Linked DNA regions of Coturnix japonica. The protein of the gene in region 3 binds, or shares a complex with, the protein of the main gene of each other region. Links are inferred from orthologs where the notes say so. Each region holds a gene or a part of one and is shown on either strand. Other genes may lie near its edges.

Evidence for each region.
Region 1: the proteins of NTS (region 3) and NTSR1 are in contact, whole or in part, in a crystal structure (PDB 4BUO), measured with the Rattus norvegicus proteins. The link is inferred for Coturnix japonica from reciprocal best matches to the Homo sapiens genes NTS and NTSR1. Residues at the interface, in NP_001095851.1 of Rattus norvegicus: Arg157, Arg158, Pro159, Tyr160, Ile161, Leu162; in NP_001102437.1 of Rattus norvegicus: Ser53, Asp54, Leu55, Asp56, Asn58, Phe128, His132, His133, Tyr146, Met208, Val224, Cys225, Thr226, Pro227, Ile238, Arg327, Arg328, Phe331, Cys332, Tyr333, Ile334, Ser335, Asp336, Trp339, Phe344, Tyr347, His348, Tyr351.
Region 2: the proteins of NTS (region 3) and SORT1 are in contact, whole or in part, in a crystal structure (PDB 4PO7), measured with the Homo sapiens proteins. The link is inferred for Coturnix japonica from reciprocal best matches to the Homo sapiens genes NTS and SORT1. Residues at the interface, in NP_006174.1 of Homo sapiens: Leu152, Tyr153, Glu154, Asn155, Pro160, Tyr161, Ile162, Leu163; in NP_002950.3 of Homo sapiens: Val112, Ser113, Leu114, Ser115, Trp116, Lys260, Tyr304, Ser305, Phe306, Gly307, Leu308, Phe314, Ser316, Arg325, Ile327, Phe350, Tyr351, Ser352, Ile353, Tyr395, Gly399, Thr570, Gly571, Leu572, Ala573, Trp586, Trp597.

Annotation. Positions count from the first base shown.
Region 1 is NC_029535.1:7,369,845-7,379,776, reverse strand, and holds the start of NTSR1 (neurotensin receptor type 1), read right to left. Parts: upstream 5,097-9,932; 5' UTR 4,755-5,096; coding exon 4,098-4,754; intron 1-4,097. UniProt on the Homo sapiens protein: G-protein coupled receptor for the tridecapeptide neurotensin (NTS). Signaling is effected via G proteins that activate a phosphatidylinositol-calcium second messenger system.
Region 2 is NC_029541.1:1,577,297-1,587,344, forward strand, and holds the start of SORT1 (sortilin), read right to left. Parts: upstream 5,258-10,048; 5' UTR 5,243-5,257; coding exon 5,072-5,242; intron 4,983-5,071; coding exon 4,909-4,982; intron 4,791-4,908; coding exon 4,688-4,790; intron 3,577-4,687; coding exon 3,412-3,576; intron 2,962-3,411; coding exon 2,888-2,961; intron 2,698-2,887; coding exon 2,648-2,697; intron 2,567-2,647; coding exon 2,436-2,566; intron 2,366-2,435; coding exon 2,221-2,365; intron 1,167-2,220; coding exon 1,011-1,166; intron 911-1,010; coding exon 804-910; intron 661-803; coding exon 558-660; intron 476-557; coding exon 307-475; intron 1-306. Other genes in the region: PSMA5 (proteasome subunit alpha type-5), read right to left, coding at 8,963-9,040.
Region 3 is NC_029516.1:38,339,927-38,349,898, reverse strand, and holds the start of NTS (neurotensin/neuromedin N), read right to left. Parts: upstream 6,445-9,972; 5' UTR 6,208-6,444; coding exon 6,147-6,207; intron 3,102-6,146; coding exon 3,040-3,101; intron 1-3,039. UniProt on the Homo sapiens protein: Neurotensin may play an endocrine or paracrine role in the regulation of fat metabolism. It causes contraction of smooth muscle.

The DNA.
Region 1 (9,932 bases), on a different chromosome or scaffold from region 3:
TAGGATTATCACCATGTAAGTGACTGAAAACAGCCCTCCTAGTAAAAGCAATAGCAGGAATTTGGCTGTGACTTAAGGAAAAGAGACCAGCCTCAGTTCCTCTAGCCAGCATTAGAATGAACGCAGAATTCCTGAACTGAAGCCATTGACTAATCCTGGATACGATATGCCAGCAAATATGGAGAGAATTCAGCCCTTTGGTTTTACTCATTGCTGCTTTTCATGTGCTATGAAGAGACGCTTGCCAGGTTTATTTTCAGGGCCCCATGGACCTGCCAGGCATCTTGCCACATGTCCTCACTGGAAAAGGTGTAAAAGAGTGTTTGCAATACTGTGTGTGGGATGCTGGGCCCCTTGGATAAATGGGGGTTGAATAGGTGAACTTGGAATCATGCTTAGGGCCAGGGAAGCGTTCAGGCCAGCTGTCTTGTGTGAGAGATCTTGCACGCAAGAAAGAGCTCCTCCATCCTCAGCCCCAGTGTCTGCTCCCTCCTTCTTATCCCATCAGATCTGAAGCCTTTCAGCACGTTACTTCAATGCAAGAGAAAATAAAGCAGAGTACCTGTTATTTCATGTGCTGTGTTATTTACTGTACCATGAGCAGACTTCATAAAACAACAGATAATGGACCTGCAGGGTGGGAGAGCTGCAGCCACACAAGAGTGGGGATAAACCACCAGCGTGTATCAGACACCCTACACAGGAATACAAACAGCAAAGGCTTGGAAAGGGGTAACCTGAACCACCCTACTGAGGCTAAAAGGCTGCAGGTGGCCCAGTCAGAGCCCGGGGGACATTCTGGGTTATGCTGCACCATGGCACTAAAGGAAAACAGTATTTGCACTGCCACCCAGACAGTAAAATTTAGGTCCTTTTGGAACAGGATGGACAGTGAATGCTGGTGGATGTGGGGCAGTCACTGAGGGGTCTCCTGTTCTGAGAGCAGAACCACAAGCAGCCAAAAGCACGAGTGCTGACCCGCAGGGGAGCAGAGCCCACATGTCGCTCTGCCTCACAGCTCTTTTATCTGGTGGTACCATAAAGAGCAGCTGTTATAACCTCCTCCAGCTGAAGTGGCATGAAAACATTAATTTACTTGTATGGAAATGGCTTCGAGAGGTGCTTAATTTGTATGAAAAAAAAACAACCCACCATAAAATTGGCTGCAGCATGTGTTAGAGGATGTGTGCCAGTTAAAGTGTTAACTAGACCTAAATGATGTACTATAATGGACTTATTCCTGTGACCAGATCCCAAAACGATGCCAGCATCCAAACCAGACACCCCTAACAGACAGAAGGAACAGGCAAGCTTGGCACTGAGGAGAACAGAATAAACCAGCCTGACTTCAGCAGCTGCAAGGCTGCTGATAAACAAAGCTGGGAAGCAGAGCTGCTGTAAGGAATTAAATGCCAGAGGTCGCACGGAGCTCACGCCGTGATGGCACAAGGAGGGATGCTCAGCACCCCATGGTGCTGATGGGTGACACCCCACAGAGCACACATGTGTTGCTCTGCCTGCTTAGCAGTGTGCTGCACTGAGCAATCTGTAATTACTAGAGGAATGCCAGTAATTACTTCTTAGAGTTGCGCAGATCAAGTGGTACGTGTTAATATGAGCAGAAATTGTGTGTGTGGCGTGTTGTTTGAATGGTTAACTCTTGTTCCCTTTTATAAGGAAACTTAGTTGTGCACACAGTGCAGTTCCCTTTGGGGATGTCCATCAGACCTTAAAGACTCCAAGCAAAGAGTCAGAAACTTTGTCAGAAAGAGCCTTCAATGAGAACGTCCAGTGTTCACTCTGAGGTGGCTCCAACCCAAGGAGGGACATCTTCCTGGGCTCCGCAGTGTGAGCACTGAGCTCTGAGTCTATAAATGGTTACATTTGCTGTGTTTAGGGCCTGGCTTGCAATTACTCACCAAATGAAACCTCTTGGAGAACCGATGGATTCAAAAAAATAAATAAATAAAAAAGAATTTAAAAAATCCCAATTTACTTTAGGCAGCTGGCCAAACAGGAAGAGCGAAATATGTTGAGTGATTTAATACGATAGATTCGCCAGCTCGAGCAAATGTATCATTGCTCTGATTAATTTAAAAGCAGAAAATGAACGAAAGAGATGTAGAGACCTGCTCTGAAGCATCCTCAGCCCTCTGCACAACTCAAGGGCTCTGGATATCTGAACTGTGGGACCTCTGTGCATCACTCTCACGCATTACCATTGCCCTTTCCTTCACAGGTCTTCCATTATTCGTTGGGTTTTTTTAAAACCCCTGCACAGCTTACAACATGAGAATGCTCGATCACACGCTGTGCAATGGTTTCCCTTAATGCACTTCAAACCCGACTTGCAGCTGCTTTGCTTACTCACTCTGCAGCCCTCACTGACCCAGGGCCCTGCTTCAGGTTGGGTGCTGAGGAATGAGCCCCAAGCCATGATATTAGTTCCTATCTTAACAAATCTACATTTGTAGCCAGGTTCCCAAGAAGGAAAAGTATTCTGCTCCCCTGCCTCCCCCACAGCTGCCTCCTTCCTTTTACTTTCAGTACATTCACAAGTGAAATGATGATAAAAAATGTAAGGAAGAGGCCACAGGCAAACTTCATACACAATGCATTAATGTCTGCCTGTCTTTTACTCGGGTAACAGGATAAGGTAGATCCTGAATAACAGCGAGACTGTAAAATATGTTGAGAATTGTTCAATCTCCATAGACATGGCTAGGAAATAATCTATCCTCAGCTCTATCGTGTTAACACAAAGCATGGGTTTAATCCTTAAAGGAAGATAAGTAGAAATAATGCATTCCAGCCACATTGTTCTTAAATCAGACGGCTCACTCCTCCTTAGAGAATAGAGAATTTGGGTTAAGCACACTGGGCTGCCTCTAAGAAAAGCTATAAAGCTACAGGGGAAACAACCTCCATGATCTGAAAGTGAAAGTTAGGTGTGAAGACAAAATTCGGAGGGAATTCAGAGCTTCTACTGGGGCTGGATTTTGGTCACTGGAGCAGTAGCACAGTGGGAAACTCAGAGAGACATCCAGTAACATCTGCAGTCTGTGGGCTTACTCCTGTCTGTATCCTCACCCACTTTTAGAGGGTGAAATCATTGTTTCCATTTAAATTCTTTACCTGCAGGAACATTTAGAAGGCTTTTGGCTCCAGATTAGACCCACCTGAAATTCATGTTTCATATAGAAGTCTGAGAAGCTATCATACGTAAGCCTGGAGGCAAAGGAGCTATGGAGATTGGAGGCTCTTTCTGCCGTTCCTTCCACTTCTCTTACATTTTTCAAGCCTAATGCTCCAGTGAACAAATGCCTCAACCCCTCAGAGTGCTGTGAGTGGTGATGCTGAAATCCTTTCCACTCATGGGAGTGTTAGATTAAGCAGTGCATGGAGACCAGCAAAGCCTTTCTGAAGTCGGGGAGGGGGCCACTAGTTAGACCAGCTATGATTTTCTCCAAACAGCCAAAATAGCAGCTGCCAGCTTTGCAGTTGCTGTTCCTGTTGGCTGCCCAAAACTTTCTGAGATCAGTCTGCTACTTCACAGATGAAATGAGCTGTGGGTCATCCTAAGAAGCTGGGAGGGAGAGTGGAGCAGAAAGATGGGTTTATTTGCCCTGATGCTGCTCATCCCTTTCCAGCCGAAGGGGAGGGGGTGTAAAGAGAGGCTGAGGATCTCTGCATGCAAATCCCTGCGATGTGGGACAGAGAGCCCCGCTATGGGACAGGGCAGGCTGTGTGCGGGCAGCAGGGACAACTGCTTCGGATGGGGGGGGGTTGTTGCCGTATCCCGGGGCCCAGATTATCTCACTGTGGGGTTCACCCCGGTGCTCAGCCTGGCGCTGGGGGGCAGGAGCCGTATGGGGCACAGCAAACACAGCCGACATCCCCCCACCCATCAAACTACAGAGCTCACCTACACTCTGTCCCATTCTGTTCTGTCGGGGCTGCTCCGCTCCCCCCCTTCCCAAAGCCGGCTCCCCAGCCTTATCTCCCCCACCCACTCTGTCCTTCCCTCGACAAAGTTTGGGTTTTTCCAGCTCGGGGAAGGAGGCAGCTGCCCATCCCCGACTGCTCGGGGTCCTCACCTGGATGACTGTCTTCAGCGTAGAGGTGTCCACGATGGTGGTGCAGATGATGGAATCCGGATCCTGATCCTTAGCATAAATCTCCCCCATGGTGAAGATCATGGGGATGGCGAGGAGGAAGGAGGCAATCCAGATGCAGCTGATGAACTTCTTGGTGCGGCTGCGGGACATGATGCTCTTGGCTTTGAAGGGGTGGCAGATGGCCATGTAGCGCTCCACGCTGAGGCTGGCGATGTTAAGCGCTGTGGCATAGGTGCAGGCATCCCGGAGGAAGTAGTAGCCCTTGCAGACAGCTCCCCCGAAAGCCCAGGGGTGATGGACCCAGATGAAGTTGTAGAGTTCGATGGGCATACAGAGGAGGAAGATGAGGAGGTCGGAGAAGGCGAGGCTGGCCAGGTGGTAATGCACGGTGCTCTGCAGGTTCTGCAGCGACTTCTTGCGCACCAGCGTATACGCTGTGATGGAGTTCCCCACGGTGCCCACTAAAAAGAGAGCCAGGTAGATGATGGTCACCATGACTTTGGAGTAGATATCGGTGTTGACGTCCAGATCCTCCTCGTCGGGTCCTTTGGAGAGCAGGTCGGAGCGGTTGGAAGCGTTGGGGTGGAGGTGTTGGGAGCCGCCGGGCACGGCCGGGGCCGTGGCGTTGGGGTGCATCCCGTGGCCGGGCCGCCCCGCCGGGGCTGCAGGTCGGAGCCGCCGCCCGCCCCGACGTACCGCTGCCCCCAGCGAGGAAACTTGGCTCGTTTTAATGCGGCGGGGAGGAGGCGCCTACCGCTGCCGGGCTGCTGTGCGTGTGTGAGTGTGTGACACACAGACAGACACAAGCGCCGGAGCAGCCTCGCCGCTCTGTGTGCAGCCCGCAGCTTTGGAATCTCCTCCCTGCAGCTTCCCGGAGCCCAGATGTGCCCGGGTACGGCAGGAGCTTCCCTGAACACACACACGCACACGCACACACACAGACACACACACACGCACACACACACGCACACCACCGCCCGCCTCGCACAGCCGCGCCGGCACACGCCGCACCGCCGCCCCCCGAACTGCCTTCCCCCGGCCCCGGAGGCGGCCCCTCCTCTCGGATCCCCCTGCCCGAGCCCCGCCGCCAAGCGGCTTCGGCAGCTCCAGCCCGGCGCCCGAACTGGAGCCGATGGGGAGGAGAGGATGGGCTGGGGAGAGGAGGTTGCGGAGCCCCGGGTACTGGGCCCCCCTTCTCCCGTTGGAACCCCACTTCTCCATCCCATGCAAAGTCAGGCACAGAGGCAGAGCTGTAAGGAGAGGGCTGGCAGGGGACTAGGAAAGTGCCCTAGCCCTATTTACCCCCTTCAACTCTATCCCCAAGTCATGAGAGACACCAGCAGTGCACCCTTGGATATTCCCGTGCCCTGTGAGCATCCCACACACTCTGCTACTTCTAGGAGGAATGCATTTAAAATGCATTTAAAACGCATAAAAATATCTACCTCTGCCCTGAGACTTCTCAGCCCTACAACTCAGCAACATCAGCAGCGAGCTGCTTTGCTCTGATCCCCATATGTCACTTTTCCTTTAGCTCCACATCCTCCAGTCTGGGGATGAACCGTCCTCTATGAGCTGTTCTGTTGCAGGGGGTGTGAAGATGCCACGTTGATGCTGTGGGTGATAAAAGGATCCCCTGCAGCAAAGGGCTCCCCGGGATAGGGGTTATTGGTGGTTACTTTCTCAAGCTCGGGGTGCTGAGCTGGATGTTGTCTTGTAAAACCTCAGTGGGCTGTTTACTTGATTGTCTTTATGATAAAGCTCTTTACTATTGCACAGAGATCTAGGAAATCCCATCCAGGGATTTCCCATCCACTGATTTGGCGAAGGCAACCATAACTTGTCTGAATTTATTTGCTGACAGATGTTGTGTTTCCAAACACCGGTGGGCTCTGAGTGCACTGACGCCTTGCACACCACTTATCTGTTTGATGCAAGACATCTAATCCTGCAGTCAATCAAATAATCTCTGCATGCCTACAGTGGACTTTACACAGCCAGCCACCAACAACCAACGTTCCCCCAAATTTCTCTTATATCCAGCAAACAGCGTCACCACAGAAAGCTGACCAAAATCAGATTTATTTAGTCTCATGTAGTCATTTAAATGTTTTCTAGCATTCATCCCACACTGGCTTAAAGAATGACTAATAATTTCTTAGCACCAGTGTTCCTTTTATCTACAGTTTTTTTCTATGAGGTCTCTGTCAGCATATAGGAATTTGTCAGGGTTGGGGTCCCCAGCTGCTCTCACCCCCTGTTCCATGTCCTTGTGCTGCTGTCTGAAGTACAGCTGCAGTGGGGGCTGTGCTCTTTTCTCAGGTTCCCGATGTTCCTACTCCTTAGCCCCCCATTTACAGTAGCTTATGGTCCTGTGATCCAAGCCCAAAGCCATGCTTCTGCACTAAAGCACTCCTCCCTGAGGCAGTGAAAGAGTTCCTTTGGGATTCTTGTCCATAACAAAGAGTTATTGTCCCTAGCCCTGTAACTTCGTTTTGGCCTTGTGGAAAGCAATTGCTATCCCCATAAACTAGATACCCATCAGCTGGTCTAATTTTCCAGTGTGTTTGTGCACGTTTATATCAATAGCTGTCTCTAGAAATGCTCTGTTTTGGATTCTGTTGCCTTGTGTTTCTGCACACAGGCAACGCAGGCACTGCTGCTGACAAGGAAGATACTACATCTCCTCTCTCTGTCCCAGCAGCTGTTCCCAAGTGCTGCAGGTACCAACTTCTCCACTTTCTCTCTGTGCCAAATGCTGGCAGAGAATACCCAGAGGTGCTGCTACAAGAGAATTCTAATTGCACTCTGAAATATCAGCTACCTGGAATCAATGTAGCTGTTGATTTACCATCAGCACTTCATCAGGCTGCTGCAGTTTATGTCAATTGCCAAACCTCCGCTTTCATAAAATCTCATTGGAAGGTACCTGTTTTTCAGCTCTTCCTAGCAGATGAGGCTGAATAGCAAGAATATTGACTCATTGCTCCTCTATCAAGTCAACTAGCTAGCTTGCACCTCTTGTAGAGTCATCAGAGAACATGAGTGCGTGACTAGATGTGAAATCATGATGTGGCTCTCCAATGTACACCAGTGCTGGTAAATTTACCAACAGTTTATCCTAGCTGAGCCTGAGTATGCTGCCTTCCCAGAGTCTGCCTGCTGACATGCAGCTTTGCCATTCCCCATGCAGAAGCACGGGTCACCAAGCAAAGAAGAAAATAAAAGAAAGCCTGATCATGTGGATCAGGAGCTGGAAAAGGGTCAGCGTCTCTCATATCTTTATAGGAAGGTTTTGTTCTACCTTCTGTCCTCACATCATTTTTACAGAGCTGGATACCTACCTGTGGTGCAGAGCTGAGCCTTGAAAACCCTTCCCTTGGAATGGGCAGAACTGTAGTGCCAAGCAAAGACACCATCCAGCAGAGAGCATCTCCCAACACACTATTAGTGTCCCCATTACTTGTGCATCACTGAAGGATATGCACAGTCCCTCTCCTTGTGTGGGTTATTGAAATGAATGCCAAACCATCTCTTCTCTCCTTCACTTCTGCTCCCTGCAGGGAGGTAATCCATATCCTCCTTCAAGCAAAAGCAGAGCTGGAGGTGCACCCTTCTCTACTTGTGAGCTAAAGCTTCCAGCCTAAATCCCTGCTGTTTGTTTCTGAACTAGACGACCTTTTAGCTAAGCTGGGCTCGTTTTAATATATTTTGTATGTGTGTGTCTGTGGCTTAGAACAGAAAAGAATGATGGAAACCAACAGGCTCTTGATCTCAAATGTTACAGCAAGGCATTTACTTAAAATCTTGCAGGAAAATATCACCTAAAGACCTTGCCTATTAAAACTTCCTGGACTGTGAGCTGAGGGTCCCACAGTGACCAGGATACGAGGCCCCCAGATTGCCTCACTCCCTTTTATGTTGACCCAAGTGTTTTTCTTCTTTGCTTTTCCCTTTGCAGCTGGGACCACTAGGAATTTTTCATGTTAACCCTATTGCAGTCTGATTTCTCCGGGTGGGATTTTTCTGAAGGACATGAAAAGCAGCAAAGAGAAAGCTCTGCAAGAAACAGACGTTAAATGACAGCATCAACCTTCTCCTTTTGCTGAGGTCACAGCTCCCCATCATATATATCTGTTAGAGCAGACTACTGGTTCAAACCTATAAAGTCGGGTCCCATTGAAATCAATGGGACAGGTGCTCCCTTCTTCAAGCATCCCTAAAAGTCAGGGGTGTCTAAAGTGGGTTGGTAAGATACAGTCCTGGGGAGCACAAGGAAGAAAGGAGTGATAGAAAATTGGGCATATATCAGCTTTGTTGACTACAATATTGACTGCATCATTACTTACAAGCACTGCATTACCCAGCGTATTGCAAAATGAAGTATTGCTAGTTGGGATAAGCAATAAAGGATTCCCAACTGTTGCACGTTATTTACTGTATTTGGCTGAAACGATTTCAGGAGAGTATTTTAAATCAAAACTGTTGATACATGGGATATTTATTGCCTCTGATTTTCATAGCAGAGGAAACTGCTGAGACTCTTCAGTGTGAACACATTGGTGTGTGCATTGGCAAAGTAGAGGGGTCACACCCAGCACAGAGCAATGATCTCATACCCCAGCATTGTGTCCCTGGACAGATTTAAAAGAAAATAGGAAAGTGGAAAACAGAGCACACTGGGATACCTACAGTGATGTTGGTAAGAGAATTTCCCTGAAGAAGGATCAATCTCTGGGAATGGACAGCTGGGAAAGGAGGTGTCTGCATTCTTTGTACAGGTCTTATCTTCTGCGTGCTGGGTGTTCAGATTCATCCCTTTACTTTAGCAAAAATTCCTTTAACATTAACAGATGGCCTATAGGCATTACAATATTTCTCTCAGACAGAGCCAGATGCGTTGACTGGACACACACAGAAGATACCAGCTGCTTCAGTTCAGAGATAGAAGCAGATTTTGGATCCCCTGAGTTGTGACTGCAACAAGCCCAAATCAGATTCCTTGTGGCAACACACTTTGTTTTCATATATAATATAAATGCCCAACACACTGTGCTTGTGCACTGCCATGTAGTTTCCCTTTGAAAATCTTGTTTTACCCCAGGAAGAAATACAGTGAAATGAGACAGAGGAATCCAAGGGGAGTGTTTGCATTTGCTGCAGTCCCTGAGGCTTCAGCCTGGCTCTGGCTGGGTTATGATTAGAGTTAGGGTTAGGGTTAGGATTAGGGTGAGGGTTAGAGTTAGGGTTAGGATTAGTGTCAGGGTTAGGGTTAGAGTTAGGTTAGAGCAGTGCAGGTGGGCAGCCCTATGCCTCTCAGGGATGCCATCTGCCTTCCCAGCCCTGAAGTTTCCAGCAGCTCCACTCAGCAGTGCATTGTGAGGGGTTGTCCCCAATGCTGCTCCCAGTAGAAATTTACCTGGGACACCCCACAGAGGCTTTGAGTCACTCTGTGCCACTTCAGCAGACATGAAAATTTGATAGTTTTTTGCCGTCCAAAGCACACTGTGACCTGCTGTGAATGTGTTTGGTTTGTACTGTGCAATCTGCTTTGTTCCTGCTATTTTTCCCTCTAAGAGCCCACATCCTCCTATTTTTTTGTCAGAGTGATGGAGCCAGAGCTGACATCCCTTTCACTGTAGAAGAAGAGGATGCAGTTAGGATGTGAGACGTCTTCACCCTCCACAAATGGTGGAATGGTCCCTTCTGGCTGTTAACAGGAATGAGAGGCTGCAGAAGGTGTTGCTCCTTGAGCTCCATCCCTACTATTACAGCAATGTGTAGTGCAGTACCTGGGTGTACATGAGTCCCATT
Region 2 (10,048 bases), on a different chromosome or scaffold from region 3:
TGGAGGTGTCTGCTGCCCCTCCACATCCCAACCCCCAGAGCCCCCCTGACCCCACAGCCCACCCCAAATCCCAAGAACCCACCTCCAACCCTCAGAAACCAACCAGAAACCCCCCAAAATCCACCTCAACCTCCAGACCCCCCCAAATCCCCATAGCCACCCTCCAAGCCTTGGCACCAGCCCAACCCCCACACCTCCCAGACTCCCACTCCCCCACTTTCTCCCCATGCCAGGACCCCCAGAACCACCTCCCTATGCTGCCCACCCCCCCTTTCCTCCTTCCAGCCCCTCAGCCCCCCCACGCACTCCAGCACATTGACAGGCTGGCTGCTGTGTGCGATGGCCACGATGAGACCACCCGAGTCCAGTATCGCGTAGTGGTGGGGACCCTCCAGCATCCGTGCCCACGTGTACCCCCCGTCATCCGAGATGTAGACATCAGGGCTCATCACTGAGATGGCCCCCCCGACACTCCCTGGGGGGAAATAAAGCATCAATACAACAAATGAGAGCAGCACTGAGTGTTGGGGATGGGGACGTGGAGACCCCCCCTGTACCGTGGGCGATGACGATGCCGACGGCGTTGGGTTCAGAGAGCGGCACCATGGGCACGTTGAGCTTCTGAGAGATGCTGTAGGACGCGTGGATGTGGAGGCTGCACTGCAAGGACAAGCAGCAAACGCATCAGGGTGGGCTCAGCCCAACACACCCCCAGCCCCACACATCCCCATCCCACCCCAGGAGGGAATGGAGGGTAAGAATGGGGCCACGTGTCCCTGCTTGGGGACACAGGACAGAGCCACCTCCTCCTTGCTGCGCGCCGTCGAGTCGCACGTCGTGTTCTTGGGTTTACGCAGCGGAACCCACTCCCCACCTCGATCAAAGGTGATGACGGACTGGATGGAGTTGTCTGCAGGGAGCAGAGGGGCTCAGCGGGGCTGGCAGCGCGGCCCCATTGAACAGCCCCAGCCCCACATTCACCCCCAAGCCCCCCAGAGCCGAGCTATCACCTTCAGACAGCACGCTGGTGATGTAGATGCCGCGCAGAGAGGTGACGTTGGTGAAGTCGGTCTCCCCCCCGGTTGTGGTGTAGAGGTGACGCTCCAAGGACTTGGAATAAACCACGCCGCGGTCGTCTGATGTGTAGATGGTGCCGTAGCCGGTGTCTGGGGGGCGATGGGGTGGTGGTAATGGGGAGGGGGGTCCCCGTGTACCCACCAGCTCCATGCAGGGAGACGGAAGAAAACCACCCCCAGTGGACACTTGGCCACGCTCCATGCCAGGAATGTGCTTCCCTGCAGCCACTGCCCGTTAATTAACTTCCTCATGAGGGAATTAATGAGAAAAAGTCCTTCCTCAAAGGCACAGCCCTGCCCGGCTCAGGGCGCTGTGCTGCAGAGCAGCTTTCATGGTGCATTGATGTGGTGTGTCAGCTGCACACAGCGCCCACCCCATCCCAAACCCACCTCACCTCATCAACACCATCCCCACCCCATCCTCATCCCCATCCCATCCTCATCCCCACCCCATCCTCATCCCCATTCCTACCCCCATCCCGTCCCTATTTTCATCCCATCCTCACTCCACCTCCATTCCATCTCTGCTCCCATCCTCATCCCATCTCCATCCTATCCCCACTTTATCCTCATCCTCACATCACCCTCATCCTGTCTCCATCCCCATTCTCATCCCATCCAATCTCCACCCTCATTCCATCCTTGTGCCATCCCACACCTTCTGTATCCTTTCTCCATCCCATCCTCATCCCATCCCAATGTTGTCCTTATCCTTATGCCATCCCCATCCCCATCTGCATCCCCATCCCATTTCTCCCCCAATCCTCATCCCACCCCCATGTTCTTATCCTCGTGCCATCCCCATCCTCCCCCATTCCCATCCCCATCCCATCCCCATCCTCACCTCATCCCCATCCTCACACCTTCCCATCCCCATGTTCACCTCATCCTCATGCTATCCCCATCCCATCCCCATCATCACACCTTCCCCATCCCCATCCCAATACCATGTTCAGCTTATCCTCATGCCATCCCCATCCTCACCCCATCCCATCACCATGTTCACCTTATCCTCATGCTATCGCCATCTCCACCCCCATCCTCACCCCGTCCCATCCCATCCCATCCCCATCCCCATCCCCATCCTCACCCCATCCCCATCCTTGTCCCATTCCCATCCCATTCCCCCCCCAGCCCCACTCACCTCCTGGCTCATCCACATGCATGAACACCAGGTCGTCGTTGGCTGCCAGGATGGAGTAGAACTGCTCGTGGCCGACGGAGGGCAGCTGTGCCATGCTCCAGCTCTCCCCTTGGTCCAGCGAGACGTGGATGCGCCGCGTGAAGCCCTGTGGGACCCACAGCCTCAGCCCAGCCCTGTGTATGCTGACGGGGGGGACGCAGGGAGGGGACAGCCACCTTCTCGGTCATGACGGAGGCGAAGAGGAAGCGGCCGCCCAGCCCGAAGGAGTAGATCTTGGTGCCGATCACTTTGAAGGTCTTGCCAAAGTCGGTGGTTTTCTTCAGCTCCAGGAAGCCCAGGTCAGCTTCTTGGGGACAAGGGGACAAGGGGCAGCGGGTTAATGGGGCGCCCCACGCTCCTCATGGGAAAGCAGAGGGGCGGCACTCACTGCAGGAGCCGTTCAGGTAGGAGGTGAAGAAGATGGTGTTGTTTGCACCCCTGGAAGAGAACAGAGAGCAGAGATGGGGGCAGTTGAATGGGGGAGGAGATGGGGGCAATGCTTGGGGGCAGGGATGGGGCAGGGATGGGGGCAGAGATGGGGCAGGGATGGGGGCAGAGATGGGGGCAGAGATGGGGGCAGAGATGGGGCAGCACCACCCCACAGCACAGCCACCAGGTGGGCACTCACCACTTGGCCAAGCAGACAGCCTTGTGGATCAGCTCCCAGTGCTCCCCAAAGTCCTTGGAGACCCAGAGGCCGTTCTGTAAGTGATGAATGCCACTGGTCAACAGCACGTCCCCATCCCCACTATGTCTCCCATCCTCACCCACACACCCCATCCCCACCATGTCCCCATCACCGACCACATCCCCATCCTCACTACATCCCCATCCCCAACCATGTCTCCAATCACCACCACGTCCCCCATCCCCAACCACATCCTCATCCCCACGTCCCCCACCCTCACCCACCTCCCCCTCCCTCACCACATCCCCCATCCCCACCATGACCCCATCCCCAACCATGTCCCCATCCTCACTACATCCCCAACCACATCCTCATCCCCATCACATCCCCAACCATGACCCCATCCCCACAATATCCTCCAACCTCAACCATATCCCCCATCCCCATCACATCCCCTACCCTCACCCACATACCCCATGCCCACCACGTCCCCCTCCCCACCATATCCCCCCCCATGTCCGTACATCAGTGCTGAGCGCCAGCAGACGGTCGGAGTCCTGGGGGTGGTACGAGATCTGTGCCAGGGGGTGGAAGGGCAGCTCCGTCTGCACAAAGTTCTTGGCAAAGTCAGACGAGCGGAAGATGCGGCCGCCGCGACTGCCACCAGATACATCACCCGTCAGGATGACCTGGGGTGGGACACAGCACCGCGCTCAGCACCGCGCCAGGGGAAACTCAGCCAGGGACAGGGGGAGGGTCAGGGGCTGGATTAACAGGTAGGGGACAGGTTAGGGTTAGGGCTTCAGTTATGGGTTTGGGTTAGGGGTAGGGGTCAATGGCAGGGGTTGGGGTCGAGGTTTCAGTTCAGGGTTGGGTTAGGGGTCAGTGGTTGGGGTTGGGGGCTTGGGTCAGGGTTTCAGTTAGGGGTTTGGGTTAGGGATCAATGATTGGGGATGGGGGTTTGAGTTGGGGGTCAGTGGCTGGGGTTGGGGGTTTGGGTTAGAGGTAGGGGTCAATGGTTAGGGTTGGGGGGTTTGGGTTGAGGTTTCAATTGGGGGTTTAGGTTTGGGGTCAATGGCTGGGGTTGGGGTTCAGTTCAGGGTTTGAGTTAGGGGTCAATGGTTGGGGTTGGGGGTTTGAGTTGGGGGTCAGTGGCTGCGGTTAGGGGCTTGGGTTGGGGTTTCAGTTAAGGGTTTGGGTTAGAGGTAGGGGTCAATGATTGGGGCTGGGGGTATGGGTTAGGAGTAGGGGTTAACAGTTGGACTTGGGGGTTTGGGTTAGGGGTCAGTGGTTGGGGTTGGGTTAGAGATAGGGGTCAGTGGTTAGGGTTGGGGGTTTAGGTTGAGGTTTCAGTTGGGGTTTTAGGTTAGGGGTCAATAGTTAGGATTGGGGGCTTGGGTTGGGGTTAATGGTTGGAGTTGGGGGTTTGGGTTAGGGGTCAATGGCTGGGGTTGGGGTTTCAGTTTGAGGTTTGGGTTTGGATTAGGGGTCAATGATTGGGGTTGGGGGTATGGGTTAGGAGTAGGGGCAAACAGTTGGGGTTTGACGTTTGGGTTAGAGATAGGGGTCAGTGGCTGGGGCTTGGGTTGGGGTTTCAGTTAGGGGTTTGGGTTAGAGGTAGGGGTCAATAGTTGGGGTTGGGGGTATGGGTTAGAGATAGGGGTTAACAGTTGGAGTCGGGGGGTTGGGTTAGGGGTCAGTGGTTGGGGGGTTGGGTTGGGGTTTCAGTTAGGGGTTTGGGTTATGGGTAGGGGTCAGTGGCTGGGGTTGGGGGTTTGGGGCAGGGTGTGGGGCTCCCACCTTCCCCGAGTTATCAGGGCTGATGGCCATGCCGAACTCGGTGCGGATGAAGGTGTTGTTGATGAGGTTGGTGATGTCCTTGAAGGTCTTCCCATAGTCCTCACTGTACGGGGACGGCACAGGGCTCAGCTGTCAGCACCACCAGGACCCCCCAGCAGCCCATACTGCCTGCAGGGCCCCACTCCCCACATTAGATTGGGGTCTGGGGGGTGTATCGATACCTGCGGTACAGCTTGGACTGCCCAGAGATCACAATCACCCAGGGCACCTGGAACGTGGTCAGCACCAGGATGACCTGCGGGATCACAGCGTGTTCAGCTCATCACAGGGGGGTCTGCAGCCCCCACAGCCCCTCAATGGGGCGGCACCCCCTGCACATCTTACCCCAGTGCTGTCGCCCACCCAGGACAGGGACACGGAGCCACTGAGGTCATCGAAGACGCACTGAGAGAAAGAGAAGGAGATGGGGAGGAACAGAACAGCCTTCAGTGTGAGCAGGGAATGGGGGTCACGGGCAGGGGGGGACCCCAACCATGGGAGGTGGATACAGGGCATGGGGATGTGGGGATCAAGGGGGTGTGGGGTGGATGTGGGGATGTATATGGGGATATAGGGATGGATATGGGGATATAGGGATGGATATGGGGATGTATATGGGGATATAGGGATGGATATGGGGATACAAGGAATGGATGGTGGGGATTGTATATGGGGACTATAGGGATGTATATGGGGAATTATAGGGGAGTATATGGCGGATATAGGGGACTGTATGATGGATGCGATATAGGGATTGTGTCACATGGGGAATGATGGGATGATATAGGGCGATCAGGATGTAATACTGGGGGATGGATTGTGGGATATAGAAATGTAATATAGGGATGTTATGGGGGATATAGGGATGTAATAGTATGGATGTTATATGGGATGTAATATGGGGATATAGGGATGGATGTGGGGATGTTATATTGGGTGGTATAGGGAAATAGGGAATGGAGCTTCTTGGGAATATACGGGATGTATATGGGAATATAGGGATGGATATAGGGATGTATTATGGGGTTCGACTCTCTTGCACCGCCCCCCCCCGGATATAGGGACTGATATGGGGTATGTATAGGGATGTTATGGGGATGTTATATGGGGATATAGGGATGGATATAGGGATGTATACTGGGGAATATAGGGATGGGATATAGGGATGATATGGGATATCAGGGAATGATAGTGGGGATATAAGGGATGTATATGGGGATGGATATGGGGATATAGGGATGGATATAGGGATGTATATGGGGATATAGGGATGTATATGGGGATATAGGGATGTATATGGGGATATAGGGATGGATATAGGGATGTATATGGGGATATAGGGATGGATATAGGGATGCATATGGGGATGGCTGTGGGGACCGGCAATGGGGCATGGGAGGGATCACGCTAAAGGATGAATAAATGGCACGGCCACCGTCACGCCGTCCGGGGAGCCCGCATCAGCGGTCGGTGGCCTGGCGGCGCGTCCCTTACAAGGTAAAGGGAGAGAACGGGACGGAACGAACTGAGCGGGGACACGGACGGGGGACACCGGGCAGCAACCGGCCCACATCCCGCTCCCGGGTGTCAATTAGCGGCAATTAACGACCGGCCGGGCGGCAAGAGCGGGGCGCGCCCTGCGGGGAGCGCGGGGTGGGGGGGGGTTAGAATGGGGGACCGGCTTGTAACGTGTGTCGTTGTGTCCAACGGTGACACCGACAGCCCGGTCCTGTCTGTCTGTCCGTCTGTCCGGTGTCTGTCGTCTGTCCCCTGTCGTCCTAATCGGTCTGTCGGGTCTGTTATGTTGTTCTGTGCCTGTCTGTCGCTGTCGTTCCTCCCCCTCGCCGGTCGCTTCTGTGTCCGCTTGTCCCGTCCCGTTGTCCCGTGACCGCCGGTGTCCGTCCGTCCCCATCCCGTTCCCCGCGTCGCTCACCTGTTGCGTGTTGTGTTTCCCAGCACGGCCGTGACGTCCCCTCCAATCCCCGCTTATCCGCCGTTTCCTGCCGCCCCCCGCCGGTGCTCGGCCGCACCGACACCAGCCCCAATAGCCGGGCTTCCAGCACCGAACCGCACCAGCCGGCAGCCGCCCCGCGCGGGACCATGGCGACTCCGGCGCCGCCGCCGCCGCGCCCGCATCGCCGGCCTGGCCGCCGGCCCCTCCCCGTCCGCCACAACCCCATTGGTTAACGGGGGGGATATGCCTTCCATCGTCACGCCCCTCTCGCCACGCCCCGCCGCGTGTTGGTTCTAAGGATGTCGCTCAACGCCGGCTAACCGCGTCCGCAGCGGTGGCGTTTCCGATTGGTTCACTTTCTGTGTCCAATCACAGCCATCCTCCTCTCGCTATTGGCTCGCTGTGCTTAGTCCGATGGGGGCGAGCCCGCCCCCCTCATCGACCGGCCATGGGCTCAGATCCACCTAACGACAGCGCGCTGATTGGCGGAGCGGGGGGCGGCAGAGCGGATTTTTTTGATTGGTCGAGGCGACAGGTAGCAGGGCGAGGGGGGGGCACGAGGAGTGGGGTTGGGGCACAGAGTGGTAGTTATGGGGTACAGGGCATGGTTAATGGGGTATAAAGAGCGTGGTTATGGGGTATAGAGGTGTGGTTATGGGGTAAAGAGAGCGTGTTATGGGGTATAGAGTGTGGTTTGGGTACAGGGCATGGTTTATGGGGGTATAGAGTATGGTTATGGGTACAGGGGCATGGTTTAGGGGTATAGAGCGTGGGTTATGGTATAGAGTGTGGTATATGGGTATAGAGTGTGGTTGGGTACAGGGCATGGCTTATGGGGTATAGAGCGTGGTTATAGAGCACAGAGCATGGTACAGAGCATGGTTATGGGGTATAGAGTGGTTATGGGGTATAGAGCGTGGTTATGGGGTATAGAGTGTGGTTATGGGGTATAGAGCGTGGTTATGGGGTATAGAGCGTGGTTATGGGGTACAGGGCATGGTTATGGGGTATAGAGCGCGGTTATGGGGCACAGAGCATGGTACAGAGCATGGTTATGGGGTATAGAGTGTGGTTATGGGGTACAGAGCGTGGTTATGGGGTATAGAGGCGTGGTTTATGGGGTACAGGCATGGTTTATGGGGTATAGAGCATGGTTATGGGGTATAGAGTGTGGTTAAATGGGGTAATAGAAAGTTGGTGGTTTGGGTATAGAGGCGTGGTTATGGGGTATACGAGCATGTTATGGGCACAGAGCATGGTTTTAGGGGTATAGAGCCGTGGGTTATGGGGGTATAGAAGATGTGGTTAGGGTATAGAGTGTGGGTTATGGGTATAGACGTGGTATGGGGTATAGAGTGTGGTTATGGGGTATAGAGCATGGTTATGGGGTACAGAGCATAGTTATGGGGCACAGAGCATGGCTATGGGGTACAGCTGGTTTGGGGGCATAAGTCGTGGGTTTGGGGTACAGACATGGTGGGTTTGGGGCCATAAATGGTGGGTTTGGGGGCATAACCCCAGTATGGGGCACCAGTGGGTCATCAGCTCCCAGTCTGGGGACACAGCGCCCAACTTGGAGCTGGTTTGGGGTCCCAATGGCCAATTTGGGGGCAAAACTCGCAGTTTTAGGGCAGAACTGCAGCTCTGGGGACACACAGAGGCCCTAAAGGAGCCCCCCAAGGGGAAGCTGCCCCATATCTCCATAGGGACAGCCCTTAAACCCCCCCAGCTGCAGTGCCGTGCCCCAGAGCAGGGCACAAAGCACCATTCTATAGCATAGAACAGCTGGAAGAATCAGCTTTTTGTTCTATGGGGACACAAACAGGGCGAGGAGCAGCACAGCAGGGAATGGGGCAACAGCCCGAGCCTGGCACAGGGGTGTGATCCTAAAGGACAAAGTCCAGGGGCACCTGCAGGGCTGGGCACGGCCCATGTATGGCATGGGGCTGCCATGGGGCTGCCATGGGGCTGTATGGAGCCTGTGTCCTCCACGAGAGGGAGACATGGGTTGAGGGAGCCATGGGTTGCAGCCCTGCTGTGCTGTGCTGTCCTCACCTGCTCCATGTTAACCCCCCCCCTTAGCACAGAGCCCAGCACAGAGTAACAAAATGATTTATTATCGCTTCCTCTTTGTCAGGATCCGTTTATGTACAGACTGTAAATAAAAAAAACACCTTTGGGAGCCTTGTGAGATGCTGCTGGAAACCAAGCGGCAGGTAGTGGGAGGAACTGAGTCAGTTCACTTTGATCGGGGCAATGAGCCTTAGGAGCCCGTGTCCCTTTCAGATGTCCTTGATGACCTCCTCCAGCTCCTCCTTTGTGTACATGTGGAACTTCATGCCCGGCTCTATGGTGGCGAGCTGAAAGACAAGGAGCAAAGGGTTAAACGTGCCCATGTATGTCGAGTGCCAGCGTGGAACACAGAGCAGCACAGACACAGCAGCTGTTCCTTCCCTGCTGCCTGATCTGCCAGCACAGCAGGATCAGTGCAGCCCATACCGCGCTCTTTGATTCCCTAAAATAGCAGCTGGCTGCAGAAATAGCTTTGAATTGACTCAGTCTCCTCATAGTAGCAGCAGCAGGGAATGGCTTTGGGGACAGCTCAGGCCTTTCTCCAGCAGGACGATGTAATAAGGGAGCTCCTCGTGCTGCAGCTCCACCTCCAGTAACTGCAGGTTCCTGCTCAATGGGGATGTGCCTTGGAACCTGCTGTACAACAGGACGGGGTGACAGCAGCACAGAGCTGGGCACAGCGCCCTGCACAGGCAGCTGGGACGCATCACTAGGACATGAGGGCTGCACAGCAGCAGCGCTGCCAAAGGAATGCATGCAGGGCTCCCACCAAGCACTGCTGGAGCTCACAGAGATGCACAGATAACCCAGCACTGTGATGGCAGCTGGAGCACCCCGTGTGTGTGCTGCAGGGAGTGATGTGTGCCCTCAGCCAGCACAATGTGAATGACCAGCTTCTATGGGGCTGAGCTATGGGGCACAATGGGACCTCCACTGCAGGTATCCCAAACCACACCAACCACAGCTCCACCAAACCATTCCCTTGCAGCCTTTGCAAGGAATCACTCATATAAAAGCATAACACCGCTTCAGGCTCCATTGCTGCCCATGGGTTCAGCTCTCCATCACCACGTTCCCAATCCCCCTTTGCTGCTAAGTGGGAAAAACCCCCATACAGGAAAGAGGGAATCAAAAGCAAAGCCCTGCACAAAGCTGGAAAGCAAAGCGGTTCTGTGAGTGAATGATCCCCAAGCAGAAGGGCGACTTGAGTCAATGGTGACCTTTTAATCCTCAGCACATTCCTCCCATGCTTAACCCCGATGTGATTCCTCCATAGGTTCAGAGCCCTGCCAAGC
Region 3 (9,972 bases):
TATCTTGCCTTTATCTAGTGAAATCAGGTGAAAAAGATTCATGATCAAGAAAAATCCAAGGTACTGAACAGCTAGGTAAAGCACCTGGACTTAGCTAACAGAATTCATGAGATATAATGCAGAGAACTGAAGGCTTGTTACAGTGCCTTTTCTGGTGTACTTCCCTGTCCTTAGTTTTGGTTAATGACTTCCTCTGCACAGAATAAGACAGAGAGATCACCTGTTATCCAGCAGTGTTAATAACACACAAAGCATCCAGATAACTTCAGTAATGCACTGAGGGATATGTGAAAGTATCATTTTCAAAAAAATGATAGTATCATACATTTCAGGAGTATGAAATGTATTATGTCAGTAGGTCTACACTGTCCTTACATAGGTGCTTCAATGGTTCCTTTTCAGAACAGTGATTGAATTTATTCAGACTATAACAGTAGAAATAATAACGAAAATATTTTCTGCCTTTAAGAATGAAGTTCTTCTATGACATATACTAATGCCTATATAAATATAAGGACTTGCATGCAATAACTGCAATAACTGAGTCTGGAAGACAGAAATTCTTAGGCAGCTGCAGCCTCATCTGCCTGATACGAAGGCTAAACTTTCTAGGTATATACAGTAAGGAACAGGAATTCAAGCTCAGAGAACTCAAGATTCCGTAAAATTCATGTAAGTAGGAATCTCAAATGTGTATTCTGGTCATGATGATTCCTTCAATTAACTTTTTTTTTTTTTTCCCTCTTGAACTAATAGCATTTCAGTCTTGTTTGAGATCAAGATGGCAAGATGTTCTTCATGCAAATGGTAGATTCATGTTAGCACTAAAGAAGCTGGGAGTAGATCTATCATTTTGATGCAAAAGACAGCAGGAAATAATTTGTATATTTGTGATACTTCAGGTTATCTTACTAAATCTTCAAAAAGGCTCTTTGGACTTTATCTTAGAAGATAGATATATAAAGCTTTTTATGGTCTTGCTTGATTCCTGTATCTTCTCCAAGGTGTAACGGGGAGAAAAGTGATAAGCTATATTAAAAGTTGAATGCAGTTCATGAAAGCATGAATGCAAATTTTTAAATATGGAGAGATATTCAGCACATGGGTGACTTTAAAGAGTAGTTTGAAAAAGACCAGAAGACACTTGTCAACAGTCTGTGAAGTCAAAAGAATACAGTAAAAAAAAAAAAAAAAAGGCCATAATATTGCATACATTTGATACCATACTTCACAAGTAGCTACATAGCTAGAAGTTTTCTGTGAAATAGCAGAAACATAAGTGATTTGAGAACCACTGAGTCTGTTTAAATTGGCTGGATTTCCCTTGCTGTTGATTATCAAGTCAGTGTTAAATATGATTAATACAATTTAATGGTAATTGCCTTCAGCTGGAGACTAATCTCAGGCACAAAGCCAGTCAGGTATCATAGTTGCCATCCTAAAATTAGTCTTTAGATCAGAACCATGGTTCTGTTCTAATGAAGAGTAAAAACTAACGGAGGCCAAATAATAATAATAATAATAATAATAATAATAATAATAATAATAATAATAATAAATTATTTCAGTAATGAATGGATCTATGTCTTGTAGTTTCATACACCTTCTTAGTGGTTCCACTATGCCTTTTACTGTCAAGAAAGAGTACATTTTATACTAGTTAATTTGAAATAATGATTTAAAATTCTATCATTTAGAATTAAAATGTCTCCATTATCTGTTGTTTATATCAACCTCAAGTGTCAATTCACTTGCAGTATATATAACATAAAGCCATTAAAAAGTAAGTTACACGATGTAAAACAACACGTAATAGTATATAACAAACATCTTTGTATTATCAACAGGTGCACTGTATTTCAGCATTTTTAGTTACCTGAGATTGTACTCTATGGTAAAAGAGAAGGAAAGATGGAAGTGGAATTTACAGTCACAGTCCGACTCAAATCAGTAGCAGCAATAGAATAGCTGCAGGGTTTTTTTCCCAGGGCATATTATGGTTTGGCAGGCAGAGAAAGAACTATTTAAAGAACATTAAAATTTGTCTCTGGGAAATAATCTCTATTAAATCTTTCTTTAGAGAAGCCAGTGGCAAACAGGTTTGTTTGTGATCTTTATGCCAGTAAAGAATGTGGGAACTTAAGAACTGACAGATCAGACTAGAACAATGTATTTTTCAGCCTCATTTCTTATCCTGGTTTATTCAAATGATACTGTGAAAAAGCTCACATACAAAAAAATACAGAATATACATAATTTTATTTACCAGTGAAACCAAGCACCAAGCATGAAATCATTCAACTTGAAGCTTATGAATCTTGTTTTGGAGCTTTTTCTTCAAAGTATTGCTGAAGAAACACTAGACATACATATTTCTTAGATCATTTGTGGAAAATAACAGTGCTGAGAATGTGTCTGTCAGCCTGTTCAATACATATGTGCAACACTTGCTACTTCACCTACGTTAGTATGAGTTTGGAACAGAACTTTTGTCTACTTGTTTTAAATAACATCTACATCATTCATAGTCTGGCTACTTGTCAAGGAAATGTCATTTACCAGATTAATAGTTTCATAGTCATGCCCCCATGTTCTTGTACTAACATTATAATGAAATTCCTAAACCAAAATCAGCATATGTATTAACAGATTTTGCTTTATGACTGTCATAATTTTATATGCACATAGAAAAAAAAGTTCTGCATAAAAATCTCACTTAGAGATTTGTCTAAAGGTTAATTTAGCTTTCAGCAGGCATAATCTTATTGGGAACACATTTCTTCTTATAAATTCATCCCTCTACACATTTTCGACAGTTTAATGGAAGTATCAATGTTATACGTGAGGAACACTTTTTGTGTGTGTCACATCAACACCTTTAAATTTCCTTTGAACTGACAAAACCTTGCACCAAAGCAATGTCTAGCACTGAACTTTCAGGTCTGGACCACAAGTTATTACTTTGTGTAAAGACTTTCAGGTTTGTAATGAGAATTCATTTGCTTTCTAACTATCAACTAAAAGAGAAAAAATAATTACCTTTGATGTATACATATTGGTCAATAAATCTGTTTCTAGTGCTTTCATTTCCTCTTCTGAATCTGGGAATAAACCAGTAACATATGTTCATTATCTTATCGTAAATCATGGACATCTGAATTGAACAAACAAAATATAGATAGACAAACGAGCTGGGGCAGAGGAGGGAAACAGAAATAAAAGTGGATTCACAGCAATGTGTTCTAATGTGACTATGAGATTTTTGGTACCAAAACTGTATTTTGAAATGGATCTTCACTACGTTTCAGTGCACAATCAAGCTTATTAACATAAACGAAAGAATTCACTGTCAACCCCTAGACAGGCCCATTAATCTTCAGCTGTTTCAGTACAAACACTGGTGCAACTTTCTTCATTCAAAATCGGTCTGATTTTCATAATTACTACCCGCCACCTCTACTAACTAACAGTTACTTAGCTGCTGTTTTTTGGGAGCAATCACAATCTTTCTCAACTTGGATCTTCAAGGTGTTTTTAAATGGTGACCAGCAAACTAATGTGAAGTTACCGTGTCTCTGCTATAGTCTATTGGATATAAGCCATTCTTCTGGAAACTCCATGAACATTTATTTGGTGAAGGGCTATGCTCAGATCTATTAGACTGTCTGTTTCTGTCTCTGATCTAGTCTACTCTCACACAATAGCCATCTATTCACTAAGTCACTGATCTCAGCCCAGTACAGCAAGGGCAAGTTCAGAAGTCTCAGTTCTTAACCACCTTTATGCTTACCACTTGCTAAGGAAGTAGCTTTCTGCAATATTTTTGGCTTTTGCTACTTTCATATCTGAAAAATCTTGGCATCCCCTAATTCAAGTAAGGTCAGATACTATCACCACGTTCTTTGTCTCCTCAGACATTTTTATTGGTTGTGCTTCTGCTAAAAGGAGTTTTTAATAGAAGTGAATATTATTTCCTAAACAATCACTTTGTATAGTTATACTGCTTTCCATTTGTATTAAAGTCACCAAAAAATGTCTGTGCCTTATGTCAGTCTTCCTCTGTAGTGATGCTGATGTTCAGCTTTGTATTACCAGTACGCTACACTTACTGTTTTTACTTAAAAATTGTTACTGACAATATTGGTAAAGACTGGACAGCAGTAAAGTCACTAGTAACAGCATGTCACTAGCAACTTCTCTAGAGCCTAATGCCTTTCAGCCATTTCAGCACTACTTGTTTTCAGGATTACCTAGTCTCTCAATAGCTTCATCAGTGATGAAGTTCTTTCTGCTGGCAGCACAAGTTCACCTCAGATAAATTTTGACTACTGATAGTAGGTCTTGCAAATGAGTGAATAGTGCACGCATGACAGCATCACAATTTGTTGTATTCTGTAGCAATGAAATGATTCGCATCTAGTTAGAACCCTGTAGATAGAACAGAACGTAGTTTCCCCACCACCAAGGGTACAAGACAGATGCAGAAGTGGAAAGCTTGCTGAATAGATGATTATTAAGAAACATTTTGAATGAGAAAAGAAGTCTGGAGGATATTACTTAGGAAACTGTTCATATGGTGAAGAATGAAACAAAGCCTGGAGGAAAAGGGAACATATTCAGATAATTCAGGAGTGAAAAAGACAGATGATAGGTAAAAGCAGAAGAAGAGCAAATATTCAAGAGAGCAATCTGGTTACAGATTATTGTGCAGATCTGAGGAAAATCCACACACTTTGCTGTCTTTTTTATGCTTACCTTATTATCGATAGGAAATACAGCTTCTTTCTGTATATTTACATTCTACAGAAATAATTGTCTTCTATTAGAACACACTTTCCTGAGGGCAAATATTTTCAAAATAAAACGAAAATGATTGATCATTTTCCTAATGACTTAACTGTCCACATCAGTAAAAACTGATTTGGCTTTTCAGCACAAACTTCTCTATGACATTTCTCATTCAAATATAATTCCAAATTTCTGAACAAATGAACCATCATGTCAGTTACACATTCAATTTTGCTGGTTTTATATGAGTCTATTTTAATTTCCACTCAAATCTTTGACTTTAGTGTTTCATGAAATTTAAATTGCCTCACTGAAAATATGAATCATGGTTTTGCTTGAAAATCTACATATACATGTATAAAAAATAATAAACTTTAACCCTGTCCCTAAGAACACCAGCCCTGTAAAGTACACAAAATGATTATGCTTAAGCCACGACAAAATTCAAATTTAAATGTGTTACATTTTGTTTCTGTGGAGAAATGCACATTGGAAACTTGCATCCAAAACAAGGAGTTCTGAGTCCTCCTGGATACTTAAGCTGAAAAATTAATCTAATTGTAAATCTACACTTTACCTTTACAAGAAACAGCAATTTGTACACCAGTGAGACTGGATTTTGAAGCTTATTCTGCTATGCATCTGTCACTGTACACCTGCTTATTTGCCACAATTCTTTTCTTTTATTATTTTAATCCTAAACTGATTATCTAAATAACACATTCTTAGCTATATCACTTTCCAAATGACTTGGTGGTGCATTTTCAGATATGACCCTATTTTTTTTTTTTGTTTCTAAATCAACTGATCATAGAGTAGAAATGCACTTACATCTAACACAAGCATCTTTGTGACCAGCATTTGGTCTTCATTTTGAAATCATTAGTAGTGATTTTTTTCCCCCCAGAATCCTAAACCTGTACTTCAGCTACTAAAAAGTGTCTACAGTACATATATAGTAATGCTGAATTGTACTCTGATGGAAGGAAGAAGAAAACACAGCACCTGTGATAGCCTGGAAATACCCGGGATTCAAATATCACAAATGCAGCAACAAAATTAATGGGACAGTCTACATCGACGTTTCTCAATGACCACTCTGCACTAACAATCGTGGTAGCGATGTTGCTGAGGGGAATGGTTTGCAGATAGGGCGTAAATTACGGGAGTGATGGACAACGTGATGCTGGACAGAGCCCACTCGGTGCGAGCCGTGGGCGCCCGCAGAGATCAGCAGCCTCAGACCGAGGTGAGCGCACCCCGCCCCGTTTGGTCTCGCTCGAGGCTGCGGGAGCGGCCGGCCGCGTGGTGCTGCCCGCCGCACGGAGGCACGGGGCGCAGGGCGCGGCAGGGCTTACCTGAGCAGAGGCTGCAGGAGGCCAAGGCCAGCAGCACCACGCACACCAGCTGAGCTTTCATCCTTGCCGCGCCGCTCTCTAGAAAGTAAAGTCCATAAATCCTGGGGAGAGACGGAGAGAGAGACAGACAGACACACAGAGAGAGTGCCGCCGCTCCGCGCCTCAGCACACGCACTAGCGGGCAGCAGCAGGCACCAGATGGGGGACCCGGACCCTTCCCCAACTATATAAGCCTCAGGGTGATGTCACGGCTGTGCAGCCATCGCCTCATGATGAAGTGCCCTCCCCCCTCCCCCTCACAGTCCCCCCTCCCCCTTCTCCTTCCCCCCCGCTCACGCTGCTCCCCTCCGCCGCTCCGCGCCCGCTGCCGCTGACGCCACCTCCCGCCTGACGCACGCGGAGCCCCGCGGGGCGCGTAGCGGGGCGCTCAGCATCCCCACTCCCACCCACGCACCGGAGTGCTCGTATCCCGGCAGTGACCTGCCCGTCGAGCTCGAAAAGCCCCCAGCTACAGATATGATAATTACTTATGAACAGCAAAAGTTTCCGCAGATGCTCGGACACCTGCGTGTGGGATGCGCCGGGTCACGGGCTGCGCAGAGACGCGAACACGTCGTGCGGCCGTCGCGGGATGCGCTTTATCGTCGGTTTGGCTTTCCCTGCCGCGTGGGGAAACACGGGGAGGGGAGTAGAAGGGGGGGCACAGCGGATAATAGAATCAAATGAAGTCTATGTGAGAGCGAGAGATAACGGGAAAGTCACTTGATAAAGGTTTTTCATAGGTGCTAAGAAATGCTAACGTCTGCCACAATCAGACTACCCGTTCCGAAAAGAGAGACAACAGCTGCTGTTTCAAGGAGAGTAAGCTCTCCCTCAAGACATTCATCCTAAGGTGTAAGTGTTCTGCTTGAATTTCACAACATTGGTAACACAACCCAGTAAGAGCGGGCTCCGCGGTCAGCGCCCAGAGCGCACGAAGGTGAAAGCCGTGGGGCACCGCGGGACGAAGTGGAGGCAGCACGGGGCGGACGGCCCTGCACCGGGACGGTCGAGGTGGCAGCGAGAGGCTGGGAGCTGTCACGGACTGTCCCGGTCTCTCCTCTGCCTCCTAGAGATCGGTAGTAAAAAAAAAAAAAACAAAAAAAGGCGCGGAAATGGTCTGAAGTAGAGGGTAGAGCAAGTTAATCTTTAACGTGGAGTGTGCATATGAAAAGATAAAGACAAGCAACAGCCTCCATCGCGGCGCTGCTCATAGCGTGATTTGTCTCAGATACAGACAAACGCTCCATCTGTTGAATGGAGATATTACAATGCAGAACATTTTGGTTCCTGTGAATACATTTAAGTACGGATGCACATGCCATATATAGCAGGAACGCACTGGTAGAATTCTGATTGCGTGAAAGTTCTCTTTGCTATAGAAAGTTTCCTTTGAAATACAGTTATCCTTTTCTACGTTATCTGCCTGTCTATGCCATGAAACTGATACTTCAGAAGCAGGAAACCTGCAGAAGTTTCAAAACCCTGCTGCAGGGAACAGCCAGTGGGAAGAGTTCTTCCTTCTTCCCTGGATCAACTTTTGTAGCAGGATAAAATTTAAATTTGTAATTTTGTTGTTGTTGTTTGTTTGCTTGTAGATGCATAAATGCATGCAAAAATACAGCTGAGTGCATTCCAGTGGTATTAGCTCTGGGTTGGTTTGGTTTTTTTGTTTTTTTTGTTTGCTTTTTTTTTTTTTTTTGCATACTGATGGGAACACATTTTCTGCCTTACTAAGAAGGAAAGAGAAGAAAAGAAAGACAAGGAAAGGGAAGGAAGGGAAGAGAGGGTGGGAGGAAGAGAGGGTGGGAGGGAGGAAGGAGGAAGGAAGGAAGGGTGGAAGGAAGGGTGGGAGGGAGGGAGTATATATCACATTGTGTGGACTGTACTAGTGTGCCATTAAAGTTTTAGCTACAGCTCATCTGCCTTAGCACAGAGGTTAGATGGCCACTCACATTCCCCTCCAGTCCCATTTTCTATTATTTCCGTGATGTAGAAAGACCAATCTGCAGCTGATTTTGCTCTGTGGGTGTTCTGCAGTTCAGGCAGCTCTATGAATGAGAATCATATTTCATAGGTATTTTCTAGTGCCTACTCTCTGTCACAGATTTCCTCAATAGTGTAATTGCCCATATACTTATGTAACTGGAATTTACAGGAATGACGTTTTATTTTTTCCTCAGGAAGAGAACAATTGCCAGTTTCCCTCCCATTAAAAAAGATCACCTAATTGGTTTAAAATAAAAAATAATAACCATGGAATTCTAATATTCGTGATTCCGAGGAAATGACTGTATGTTATATTATGAGACATAATATTTCTTATAATTGCTTTGTTTTCACCTGCTTAGTTTTTGTCTTTTTTTTTTCTTTTTCTTTTTTTTTTTTTTTTTCCCCCCCAATAGAAATGTAAAAGCAGAAACTTCAGTATTAAAAATCTTCGCTTTCTTATCATGTTGAATGTTCTTCACATATTATCTTTAGATGCTTTGGATTAGGCACAACTGAATTTAGACAATTATATATATATATGTATATATTTTCCTCAGTAGAATTGAACTATCTTCTATTTCCTCAGTATTCCTGTATTTTCTTTTTTCTAACTCTTTCCTGCTTCTGTAGCTTCTTCTGTTCCTTACATACTAGTATTTTTTAAGCCTTTTAATAATTAATGCCTTAAATCACCTTGACTTCTCCAAGTCATCTTCATTGAAGCTTTTCTTGATGAGAAAGTTTGCTCTTGCAAAGGAATGTCCCAGAAAAGCATTTATAAGGAAAACAAATTCTTCTTAGAACTCTTTCTCTCCCTCTTTCTTCCTAAGTATTTCTCAGCTAGAGAAAACATGTGTAGCTCTTCATTAGTGTTGGTCCACGTGGGAATCTCACATTATCTGCTTGCCCTCAACATGTGATTTAAACAGTCTATCAATACCCACAGATCATCTCCATTCACAACTGTGAGGCATCTGAAGATAGTGAAACAATCAGGCAACTGGTAGATTCATTAAAGAACAGATACATGAACCTTAATTTACTTTACTTCATCACTGGAACCTAAAACTACCATCTCTACATGCAGATGACACCTAACACAAAAGATGTAAGCACCAAAGAGAAGAAAACCACTCCGCCATAGAAGATACTGGAGACAATAATAAGGAAGAGTCGTTGTTTCTAGTTAACAGTCTTATGCCTTAGAAACAAAAACAGGCACAGTGAGAATAAATGAGATACAATTCAGGCCGTTTGTATTTTGATATTAAATGTATTAATTTGTCTGAGATTTTTGTGTTTGTGTGTGTTTTTTGTATGGGGGAGAGGGATGTTGTATTCAAACCTTGCAGGAGGTATAACAAGTATGGAACTGGAAGATGAACCATTCAAAATTCATTCACCTAAGAGTTATTTCACAAGACAAATATTTTAAACAGCACACTGGCTCAAGGTGCTAGTTCATCATATCAAATGCAAATGTAATTGATTTAAGCTGCTTTGCCCCTACAGCAGTTTGGCTACCAGCAGTTTAAGGTAATTTGCTTGATAGAAAACTGGTAACATTAATTTCTATCATGTCGGCTCAAGCAAAGTAGAAGAGCATCTGAAGCGTAAGGTAGACAATGTATATGAATTTCTCAGGTAGTTCAAGTCTGCAGCATCACTTTCTTTGGCACAAAATACGTCTTGGGTTTTTCATTCAGTTTAGTCAGGACAGTAATGCTCAGATTTTAGCGCTGTGTTCATATGCTTAAAATCTTAAGACACTGGAGACCATCTGTGCTACTGATGA